Linked DNA regions of Saccharomyces cerevisiae S288C. The main gene of each other region encodes a partner of the protein of the gene in region 2 in a complex. Each region holds a gene or a part of one and is shown on either strand. Other genes may lie near its edges. The genes, in order: EMC1, EMC5 and EMC6. A codon is read from its position in the direction of its gene.

Evidence for each region.
Region 1: the proteins of EMC5 (region 2) and EMC1 are in contact, whole or in part, in a cryo-EM structure (PDB 6WB9), measured with the Saccharomyces cerevisiae proteins. Residues at the interface, in NP_012237.1 of Saccharomyces cerevisiae: His18 (codon at 1,024), Ser19 (codon at 1,021), Phe21 (codon at 1,015), Ser22 (codon at 1,012), Glu25 (codon at 1,003), Leu32 (codon at 982), Leu35 (codon at 973), Lys47 (codon at 937), Asp48 (codon at 934), Ile49 (codon at 931), Tyr51 (codon at 925), Glu52 (codon at 922); in NP_009884.1 of Saccharomyces cerevisiae: Leu248 (codon at 859), Ala251 (codon at 850), Tyr252 (codon at 847), Arg255 (codon at 838), Leu256 (codon at 835), Asn259 (codon at 826), Arg262 (codon at 817), Lys295 (codon at 718), Asn693.
Region 3: the proteins of EMC5 (region 2) and EMC6 are in contact, whole or in part, in a cryo-EM structure (PDB 6WB9), measured with the Saccharomyces cerevisiae proteins. Residues at the interface, in NP_012237.1 of Saccharomyces cerevisiae: Tyr9 (codon at 1,051), Leu16 (codon at 1,030), Gly20 (codon at 1,018), Ser23 (codon at 1,009), Tyr24 (codon at 1,006), His27 (codon at 997), His28 (codon at 994), Lys31 (codon at 985), Leu45 (codon at 943), Met50 (codon at 928), Thr53 (codon at 919), Tyr54 (codon at 916), Leu57 (codon at 907), Phe60 (codon at 898), Val61 (codon at 895), Val64 (codon at 886), Phe65 (codon at 883), Ser67 (codon at 877), Phe68 (codon at 874), Lys70 (codon at 868), Gly87 (codon at 817), Asn88 (codon at 814), Tyr89 (codon at 811), Leu90 (codon at 808), Lys91 (codon at 805), Glu92 (codon at 802), Ile93 (codon at 799), Ala94 (codon at 796), Leu95 (codon at 793), Ala98 (codon at 784); in NP_013087.1 of Saccharomyces cerevisiae: Gln10 (codon at 1,541), Ile11 (codon at 1,544), Asn12 (codon at 1,547), Ala13 (codon at 1,550), Asn16 (codon at 1,559), Val17 (codon at 1,562), Asp19 (codon at 1,568), Asn20 (codon at 1,571), Arg23 (codon at 1,580), Phe26 (codon at 1,589), Val27 (codon at 1,592), Ser30 (codon at 1,601), Val34 (codon at 1,613), Leu35 (codon at 1,616), Val38 (codon at 1,625), Phe41 (codon at 1,634), Leu42 (codon at 1,637), Gln43 (codon at 1,640), Trp52 (codon at 1,667), Leu56 (codon at 1,679), Ile60 (codon at 1,691), Ile63 (codon at 1,700), Tyr64 (codon at 1,703), Trp67 (codon at 1,712), Ile68 (codon at 1,715), Cys69 (codon at 1,718), Gln70 (codon at 1,721), Gly74 (codon at 1,733), Lys75 (codon at 1,736), Phe76 (codon at 1,739).

What each region holds. Positions count from the first base shown.
Region 1 is NC_001135.5:45,306-49,067, forward strand, and holds the start of EMC1 (Emc1p), read right to left. Parts: upstream 1,601-3,762; coding exon 1-1,600. Other genes in the region: MGR1 (Mgr1p), read right to left, coding at 1,806-3,059; protein disulfide isomerase PDI1, read right to left, coding at 3,348-3,762. UniProt on the Saccharomyces cerevisiae protein: Part of the endoplasmic reticulum membrane protein complex (EMC) that enables the energy-independent insertion into endoplasmic reticulum membranes of newly synthesized membrane proteins.
Region 2 is NC_001141.2:303,030-306,032, forward strand, and holds EMC5 (Emc5p), read right to left. Parts: upstream 1,076-3,003; coding exon 650-1,075; downstream 1-649. Other genes in the region: cohesin subunit IRR1, read right to left, coding at 1,448-3,003. UniProt on the Saccharomyces cerevisiae protein: Part of the endoplasmic reticulum membrane protein complex (EMC) that enables the energy-independent insertion into endoplasmic reticulum membranes of newly synthesized membrane proteins.
Region 3 is NC_001144.5:119,809-122,310, forward strand, and holds EMC6 (Emc6p), read left to right. Parts: upstream 1-1,513; coding exon 1,514-1,840; downstream 1,841-2,502. Other genes in the region: ATP-binding cassette bilirubin transporter BPT1, read left to right, coding at 1-1,303; mRNA-binding protein PUF3, read right to left, coding at 2,267-2,502. UniProt on the Saccharomyces cerevisiae protein: Part of the endoplasmic reticulum membrane protein complex (EMC) that enables the energy-independent insertion into endoplasmic reticulum membranes of newly synthesized membrane proteins.

The DNA.
Region 1 (3,762 bases), on a different chromosome or scaffold from region 2:
CCATTGGAAACCTAAAATCCGGAGAATCCTTGTGCTCTTGGGTAATGAGGATTTCTCCTGTAATGGTATCAATTAAGTTAAAAGTGATTGTATGATGTTCTTCATTAGCGATCAGATAAGCCGCTAGGTTGGGGTACAAATATTTATAAAGAACCGATTTGTCACCTAGTGTAATACCAAGAGTGTTTAGGTTTGTTGTTTCCCTCTTGCTATATGCCACCATTTTCTCTTTCGAATTTACGGCTTTTTTCCAAGTTTGTTTTACCGTATCGTTTTCGATTATGTAGCCATAAATGCCATTCGTGTCATGCTCTGTGACGAATATGTGGGAACTAGAATGGTTGTTGGCAACTATTGGTACATCCGTATTCTTGCCGGGATTCAATTTGAACAGTAAATGATCCTTATCCTCAAACTTAATCAGATACTGGTGATCATGTTCATTCAGCCTAATAACGGAATCAACAGTTTTCCTTTCAGATAGGGGGGATCTTGATTTGATAATCGGTTGATCTTTAGTAACTTCAATTGTCAAATAATGCCCATCATGCGAAAAAACAACAAGTTCGTCATGGTTTTTATCCGTCCAGAACATTTTGACGCCCTGATCAATTTCTAAATCGAGTTTCCAGATAAGTTGGCCCTTATTGACCATATCAAGGCCGCCGATAAAGCCATCATGCGTCAAAACAATTAAGATTTTGGCGAATCCGAACTTCAAATCTGATACCGTGGTATCCTTAGCGTCTAGAGCTAGGAGTTTAGTGAAGACACGTCCTGGTGAGAATTGGTTTTCTTTCAATAAGTTGATAAGGCGATTCCAATTAGTTGTCAATCTAAGCCAGTAAGCATTCCAAAGCGAATTTGAATCAAGTTCCGCTTTCATATCTTTGTTCAACTCCACATCCCTAGAATCGAAGACGTCCAATACAGCATAGTCTACCACGTTAGTCAACCATTCATCTCTTTGCCAAACGGGGATCAATTCTGTGCCATTGGCAGAGAATCCCATATATTGGGTATCATTAACGTTCAACACTAACGCCAGGGGATCTTCACGATGAAAATATTCCACTTTATTGAACCCTTGAGGTAACTCCAATTTCCATTCTGCCAGTTTTGACTGCTCATCGAGAATATGTAGTTCATTGTTCTTAATAGATACTTGATCGTTTAAATATGAGGATTGAGGTAAAATGGTCGTAGAAGGGGCATTATCTACGCCTTCCTCTAGTAAAAACCAATCGTGTAAATCATATTTCTGCCAATGGTTGCTTGAAGAGTTCACACAAACCATTGCGTTATGGTCATTACTATCCAGTTGAATCTCATCAATGGTAAAGGGTAAAACGTTTCTGAAAAGAATCTGTCCGGAAGAAACGTTAAACGAAGAAACTAAGCAGGAAGTTTCGGTAGGGTTCGATAAGATGAGAACCCTGTTGCGGTCTCGAGAATCAGGGATGACTTTCTCCCAAGGACCTAAGTTAGCCAGTTGCCAATCAGTGATAAATGCATCATCTGAAAAAACGGCTTGGACACAACTCGTGTTTAGGAAGAGTAAAATGAAGACGTACACCAAGTCTGTACACGTTATCTTCATTGCTATGGGGGAAGGGGAGGATGAAAGTGTTGATATGAATGTAGGTATTAGTTATTAATGGAGTGTATATATATATATGTTATTATATATTTGCATATATAATATGAAATCCCAGCCATATTTTCTCTGGTAGCCGTCTGAAAAATCACGGTGTACGAAGAAGGATTTAATATACGCACGGTACAACTAAGCAATCCGCAAAGACCTAATGTGTCTTTTCATTAGTGAGAGCCTTGGGGGTAGGCCCTGGTAACGGCTGGTCCGTGCTAGTGGGTGTCTTGGTATGGGAGGGCATGGTAGTTGGTATGAATTTGATGCTTAGCGAAGTTTCTAAGGCCAAAGTCATCCATGGATCATAAAGCGATCTTATTGTATCGAGATCAATATCTTGCGGGCCTTTCGTGTCATGGGGCAAAATGACACCTCGGGAGAGTGTGGTGCTGGATCTCTTCTTTACTGGTGCGGAAATGGAATCTCCCGAAGATGCTAAGAAATGCAGTCTTTTTTCCACATTTTGTAGATGGAGTTTTTTGGACTCGGAAAGACCTTCAAGGCCAGTAGAAGAAGACTGCGGATTGTGGGATATGGAATTGATGAGTTCAATGGAATTTTCTCTAATGTTTCTTTTATTTTGAAAAAACTCGAACATGTCCAAGTGAAATTCCATGCGATTGAGGTACTCGTTGAAAGACATGGGCTTGTATTCCAAGGGTCCGAACCATTTAATAATGGGATTCTGCGCCTCAACTTGCGCTCTAGCGAGAGCGACGCTTTGTTTGACCTCAGGGATATTTGTCGAGAGAGGAGTACCGTTCATAGCATCCTTGACTTTTATTTTGGTGGGGTCTATGCCCTCGTGATAATATTTGACAATATTGTTGAAAAACTTCTTGTCACGTACGGATTTCATTTCGTCGCACCAGGGGTCGTATTTAAGAAAGTTCAGGCGAGTAAGCTCCAACAGTGACTGAGAAAGTAGCAAAGAGCCAAACAACCCCCATAAGAGCTTTCTGACGCTGACGAATCGAGATTGGCGAGGTATGATGGGAGGAGGGGCGAGCACAATGTCACCATGGGTGGTGGAGAAGCGGTTCAAAGTTGGAAAGTCAGCAATATCCTTTTTGATTTTAGTCTTGCCATTGACAATCATTTCACTGGGTAGTTCGCCAAAGGATAAATCCGAGTGAGTGCCAGTGGCAATGCGGCGCGGTGGCGGTAGTTTGTAGAGCCTTCTCAGTCTCCAAAGGGCAAAGAAACCCACTGCAGATTGGATAGTGATTAGAGTGTATAGTCCCGGTAGGTTATCAGGAGCGGGTACGAGCGGACCCCACAGTTTTAAGCCTAAACTTGGCCTTATGTAGAATTTCTTGATATCATTATCATCTTTGTCGTGGTCATCTTGTGTGTGAGTATGGTCGGTGGAATTGCTATTACCTGATGGAGGAGTAAATACAGCCATCTTTTATTACGGTAATTGGAAAAGGAGAGGGAATGGAGGAGGATGAGATAAGTAGTTTCCTAAGCAGTAAAGCAAGTGTCCACATTTAAGTAAAAGACGATGCCATGCACTTATTATTACTACGTGGTCAATTTTCTCTTTCCCTAAGGCGTTCGTGCAGTGTGACGAATATAGCGAACAACTATTGTGTTTGAATTTTAACGTTTATCTTTTTATGATTTTTTTAAAAAAACTTCCTAGAAAATTTCTTATATATCTCTATTTAATGAAAAACCAAAGTGATCAGAATTACAATTCATCGTGAATGGCATCTTCTTCGTCAGCCAATTCAGCGTCAGCATCGGCTTCCTCAGCAGCTTTTTCCTGGGCTTCTTCGTACAAGGCCTTACCGTCGACGTCGAAGTGACCGTTTTCCTTGATGAAGTCGAATAAAGAGTCCAAGGATCTTGAACCTTGGTACACAACAGATTCGGACTTCTTACCACCTGGGTATAAGACGATTGTTGGGTAACCTTCAATTACGACGCCTCTGACATCGTTTTCAGTGTGGTCTAGTTTAGCAATCAAAACGTCGGATGTGGCGTTGGCGTAGGTATCAGCTAGTTCTTGGTAAGTTGGGGCCAATCTCTTACAGTGACCACACCATGGGGCATAGTACAAAACAAGAACGTCCTTCTTTGGGTCGTTGACGATTTCGTCATGG
Region 2 (3,003 bases):
TAAACGCATACATGATATCATAACTGCCTTTATACGGCACCTTACAACTAGCATGGGCGTTCAAGTGGTGGAGAACTATTACCTGTTCCTGAAATAACAGAATGAATCATCAATAAGGGCTTGTCTGTACCTCAGGATGATTTGAACAAGTTCCACTTACGCTAACATGAGGATGAATATCGTACTTATACTATGTAAACTGGAATAGAAATATTCCGAACGGTTATCCATTAGAGTGTTAGCCCTCAAACCGAGACTCTCGATAATATTGAATAGAAGATTTTACCACTAAATTTAGTGTGTATTTATGTATCTTAATAACAAACTATCCAACGAAGACGCAAAAGATACTATCCGCCCCGTAATCCTTTTGAAACCACTCAAGCTTATGGTTCACGTTATAGAACACAGGAGACGCTTGCATTATTGGTGATTCTAATATAGCTTTCTATTCCTCTATGAAAGGCGTCTGTGTTGGTGTAAATAGAAGAGGTGCCTGGTCACCTGACGCCTTATTTTGTGCAGTTACGATGTTCGAGTAGATTCGCTATCGAATTTATGCTCAAAATCTAGCTAATCCTCTTATTAGATCTTGATATGTATATATGTATGAAATTATAAGTTCTAGCTCTAGTTTTCAGTATCTTATTTATTTTTCTTTTTTTACAGTGTTAGAGGCCCATTCCCTGCAAATTTTTCTCTTCATATGAACGTCAACAAAGCTTGGAGTAAATATGATCTCACCATTAGGGTTACTTCCTATCAAGTTATCCACGTTGGTGGCTTTATTTAATGCGATTTCTTTTAGATAGTTTCCTTGGGATATTATCTTCCCATCGTTACTCTCAATTGGTAAATATTGTAATTTCTCGAACGAAGTGAACACTGCAAGAACAAAGAGTATCAATCCTGCATACGTTTCATACATGATATCTTTAGGTAACTTGCTGATTGCACCTTGTGCATTATTAAGCGAGTTAAGTTTTAATAAGTGATGAAACTCATAGCTTGAGAAACCAGAATGAAATAACACCAATGCAGAGACTGTATAGAGAAGCTTGGAAACAAACGACATCTCTTGATAATTGCTTTTTTGTATCTCGGTAGGGCTTAATTACGATCGCTTTTTAGATGCTACAATTAACATGCATAACAACTATCTGAGTTGACTTTATTTTATATTCAAAAGTAGATTTTTCTGCGCTGCGTTTACATCGCGAGTTTTCGAAGAAGCAAAGGGCGCTTTGATGACGATTGAATGGGCTTGGAAAATACATAGCCGAATATCATCCAGCGAGTATAGTCTAATGCGAAGGGATATTTGAAGTATTTATGATTAATCAAAAACTGCTAACGAAGCTATGTATGTTCAAAAGAAAGATGTGATATATATTATAGATCTTATTGTTTTACAAAAGAGCAATAAGTCTGACGTATATCTTTTCCCTTAATCTTGTGTGATTTCGTCGCTGTTGTCTATAGCATCTACCACGGTTGGGTGTTCCTCAATTGGTGCTAACTCTGAATTATTTTGCGAACTTTCTTCAATAGGTTCTAGATCGATTGTCATGGGAATATCTGGATCATTATTTTCAGTATTTGCATGGTCGGTTTCTCGTTCACTGTTGGGTTGTAAAGGCGCTTTTTCCCTCTGTGTTTGATTTGATTTTGCTTTCTGTATGTTCTTTTTATTAGGTTCTGGATTTTCCATTATGGTATCATCTACGATTTTTTTGAACAGCGGGCCAAGCTTTTCTTTGTTTAGTGCCACACGGGAAGCAAATCGTTCATCTAAAATATTCAGTTTCATTAGTCCCTTCAATTTAACTGTGAATAAAAGGAATTCAGTTTCAATATTCTCGAAAAACCCGGTTTCCGGCAAATCATTTAGGTTGGCGTCTTCATCTGCTACCCTTTCTAATTGGACGTCAACTTGCTTAGCGAAAAGACTCTCCAAATATAAAAATATTTTCAAAAGCACTTTGGAAGCATTATCGTGAAGGTAAAATGGAAATTGTTCACTCATACTATATCTCCATGTTGTAGCGTCTGCAGGCAATTTGAGCTCAAATATTTTTATTGCAACGATTATATCCATTAATGAAGTGCAAGCTGACCATTTTAAGTAAAACAAGCTGTTTATGTTTTCAAATGTTTCGTTTGTAGCCGCCAATGAAATAACGAGTGTGTTTAGACGACCTATTATAGCGGCAATTGGTTTCCAAACTGATCTAAGATCTTTTGAAATAGAATTCTCGTAATCCCTTACTTTCTCTATTATTTCTCTCCATTTTTCCAGATTCCATGTGGCTAATAACACTAGCATTTTAAAGTTTATTTCTTGAGCGGTACTATCATCAAAATCTTGAAACATTATAGGGATACGGGAAACAAAATTGTTCAAAAACAGTTGCAACAACTCTTCATCAACCTCGATTGGGTAATCCCTGCCAAGAATTGTCAGTTTATTGATGTAGAGCTCGTACAAAGAACAAGTTAAATCTTTGTAGTCGTCCCTAGAATTATTTGGATCCATTTTTTCCTGTAGAAATTTTTTTAAATGAATTTTCAATGTAGCTATCTGGTTTAAAAATTTTTCCTGCAGTTCCTTTTTTTCAAAATGATGGATATGGTGAATGAATTTAGCAAATATATCGTACTTCATGTCAACTTTTGAATTCCCGATTGTAGAATCCATAAATGCTTTAATAGTTTTGTCGGTAATTTTTTTTAATTCAGTTTCATATCCAATAGATATCCAATCATCCAGAGAAAATGTGATAAAGCTCTCTAGGAGAGGACACAGAATATCAGCAGATTCGATGGATGCGGCATTCAACAAATCGTAGAATAAAGGCAAAACTATTTCCTTAACGCTGTCCTTAGTTTGGATTTTGGGGTTGTTGGCACCTGCACACAGACCGTGGAATACGTTCAGATATAAAATAGTGCTATTTCTGTCAATGGGAAACAATGGAGTGATGTCCAATTCCTCATCGTCAA
Region 3 (2,502 bases), on a different chromosome or scaffold from region 2:
GTTTTTGGTGGTTATCTATATTTACTATCAAACATTTTACATTGTGCTATCTAGGGAGCTAAAAAGATTGATCAGTATATCTTACTCTCCGATTATGTCCTTAATGAGTGAGAGCTTGAACGGTTATTCTATTATTGATGCATACGATCATTTTGAGAGATTCATCTATCTAAATTATGAAAAAATCCAATACAACGTTGATTTTGTCTTCAACTTTAGATCAACGAATAGATGGTTATCCGTGAGATTGCAAACTATTGGTGCTACAATTGTTTTGGCTACTGCAATCTTAGCACTAGCAACAATGAATACTAAAAGGCAACTAAGTTCGGGTATGGTTGGTCTACTAATGAGCTATTCATTAGAGGTTACAGGTTCATTGACTTGGATTGTAAGGACAACTGTGACGATTGAAACCAACATTGTATCAGTGGAGAGAATTGTTGAGTACTGCGAATTACCACCTGAAGCACAGTCCATTAACCCTGAAAAGAGGCCAGATGAAAATTGGCCATCAAAGGGTGGTATTGAATTCAAAAACTATTCCACAAAATACAGAGAAAATTTGGATCCAGTGCTGAATAATATTAACGTGAAGATTGAGCCATGTGAAAAGGTTGGGATTGTTGGCAGAACAGGTGCAGGGAAGTCTACACTGAGCCTGGCATTATTTAGAATACTAGAACCTACCGAAGGTAAAATTATTATTGACGGCATTGATATATCCGACATAGGTCTGTTCGATTTAAGAAGCCATTTGGCAATTATTCCTCAGGATGCACAAGCTTTTGAAGGTACAGTAAAGACCAATTTGGACCCTTTCAATCGTTATTCAGAAGATGAACTTAAAAGGGCTGTTGAGCAGGCACATTTAAAGCCTCATCTGGAAAAAATGCTGCACAGTAAACCAAGAGGTGATGATTCTAATGAAGAGGATGGCAATGTTAATGATATTCTGGATGTCAAGATTAATGAGAACGGTAGTAACTTGTCAGTGGGGCAAAGACAACTACTATGTTTGGCAAGAGCGCTGCTAAACCGTTCCAAAATATTGGTCCTTGATGAAGCAACGGCTTCTGTGGATATGGAAACCGATAAAATTATCCAAGACACTATAAGAAGAGAATTTAAGGACCGTACCATCTTAACAATTGCACATCGTATCGACACTGTATTGGACAGTGATAAGATAATTGTTCTTGACCAGGGTAGTGTGAGGGAATTCGATTCACCCTCGAAATTGTTATCCGATAAAACGTCTATTTTTTACAGTCTTTGTGAGAAAGGTGGGTATTTGAAATAATGACATTGATTATTATATATGAAGATATAGAACATTTAATGCGCTGCAATATGTACGGTCACGCCAATTCTTTTTCTTTCTATATGCTTTCTAGTAACCCGGGTAATCACAAATGAAGCTAGTAGAGATATAACTAAATACAACTTAATTTTAACCTTATGTTGGATTGCTCAAGCAGTGTTCGAGAAAGACAGCGGCAGACAGATAGAAATGAGCTCAAATGAAGAGGTATTTACTCAGATAAACGCAACTGCGAATGTGGTTGATAATAAGAAGCGTTTACTTTTCGTGCAAGATAGCTCAGCACTTGTTCTAGGGCTTGTTGCAGGATTTTTGCAAATCGAGTCAGTCCATGGGTTTATTTGGTTCCTGATTCTGTACAACTTGATTAATGTCATTTACATTGTTTGGATCTGTCAACTTCAACCAGGAAAGTTCTACCAAAGCCCACTTCATGACATTTTTTTCGAATCGTTTTTTAGAGAGATAACTGGTTTTGTCATGGCATGGACATTTGGATACGCCCTAATCGGATGAACATATAAGAACTACTTCTATAAACGGTTAGAAACAGGCTTGATTTATTATGTACAGTAAATATAATGTTATTTGTGTTTTTTTTTTTTAAATTTTTTTAGTTCCTTCTATGTAAAAAGACATGACAACAGTATTCTCAGTCAAATGATTTCAAATACACAATGTTAAATTCTCTATCTGTTGCAGAAATAAGAAGAGCGTAAGAGCGCAAAGATTTTTGCAGAAAAATAGAGATGAGGTACAAAAAGTAGGTAATGGAAAAAAGCAAATAATGAATATAGGGGAACATAAATGTTATGGACAAGAGTAGATATCAAAATAAAACAAAATAAAATAGAGTAAGTGAAAGACAAATGGAGGAAAAAAAAAAAAAAAAAAAAAAAAAAAAAATAGTAAAAAGTGAAAGGAGAACGATGATAACACTAATCACACCTCCGCATTTTCAACCAATGCTGCAAGTTTCTCAACACTGGCTAAATGTCTATTTCCTAGGGAGTTAGATTTGTTTAGTTTATCCAAATATGCTCTAATGGCAATGACGATCAATTTCTTACCCTCACCCTCAGAGACATTAACTAATTTTTGAATCACATAGTTGGCAAATTGATCCTTGATCATTAAAATCATTGGAGAATCGTCTTCCAGATTCAAAGCATGATTTT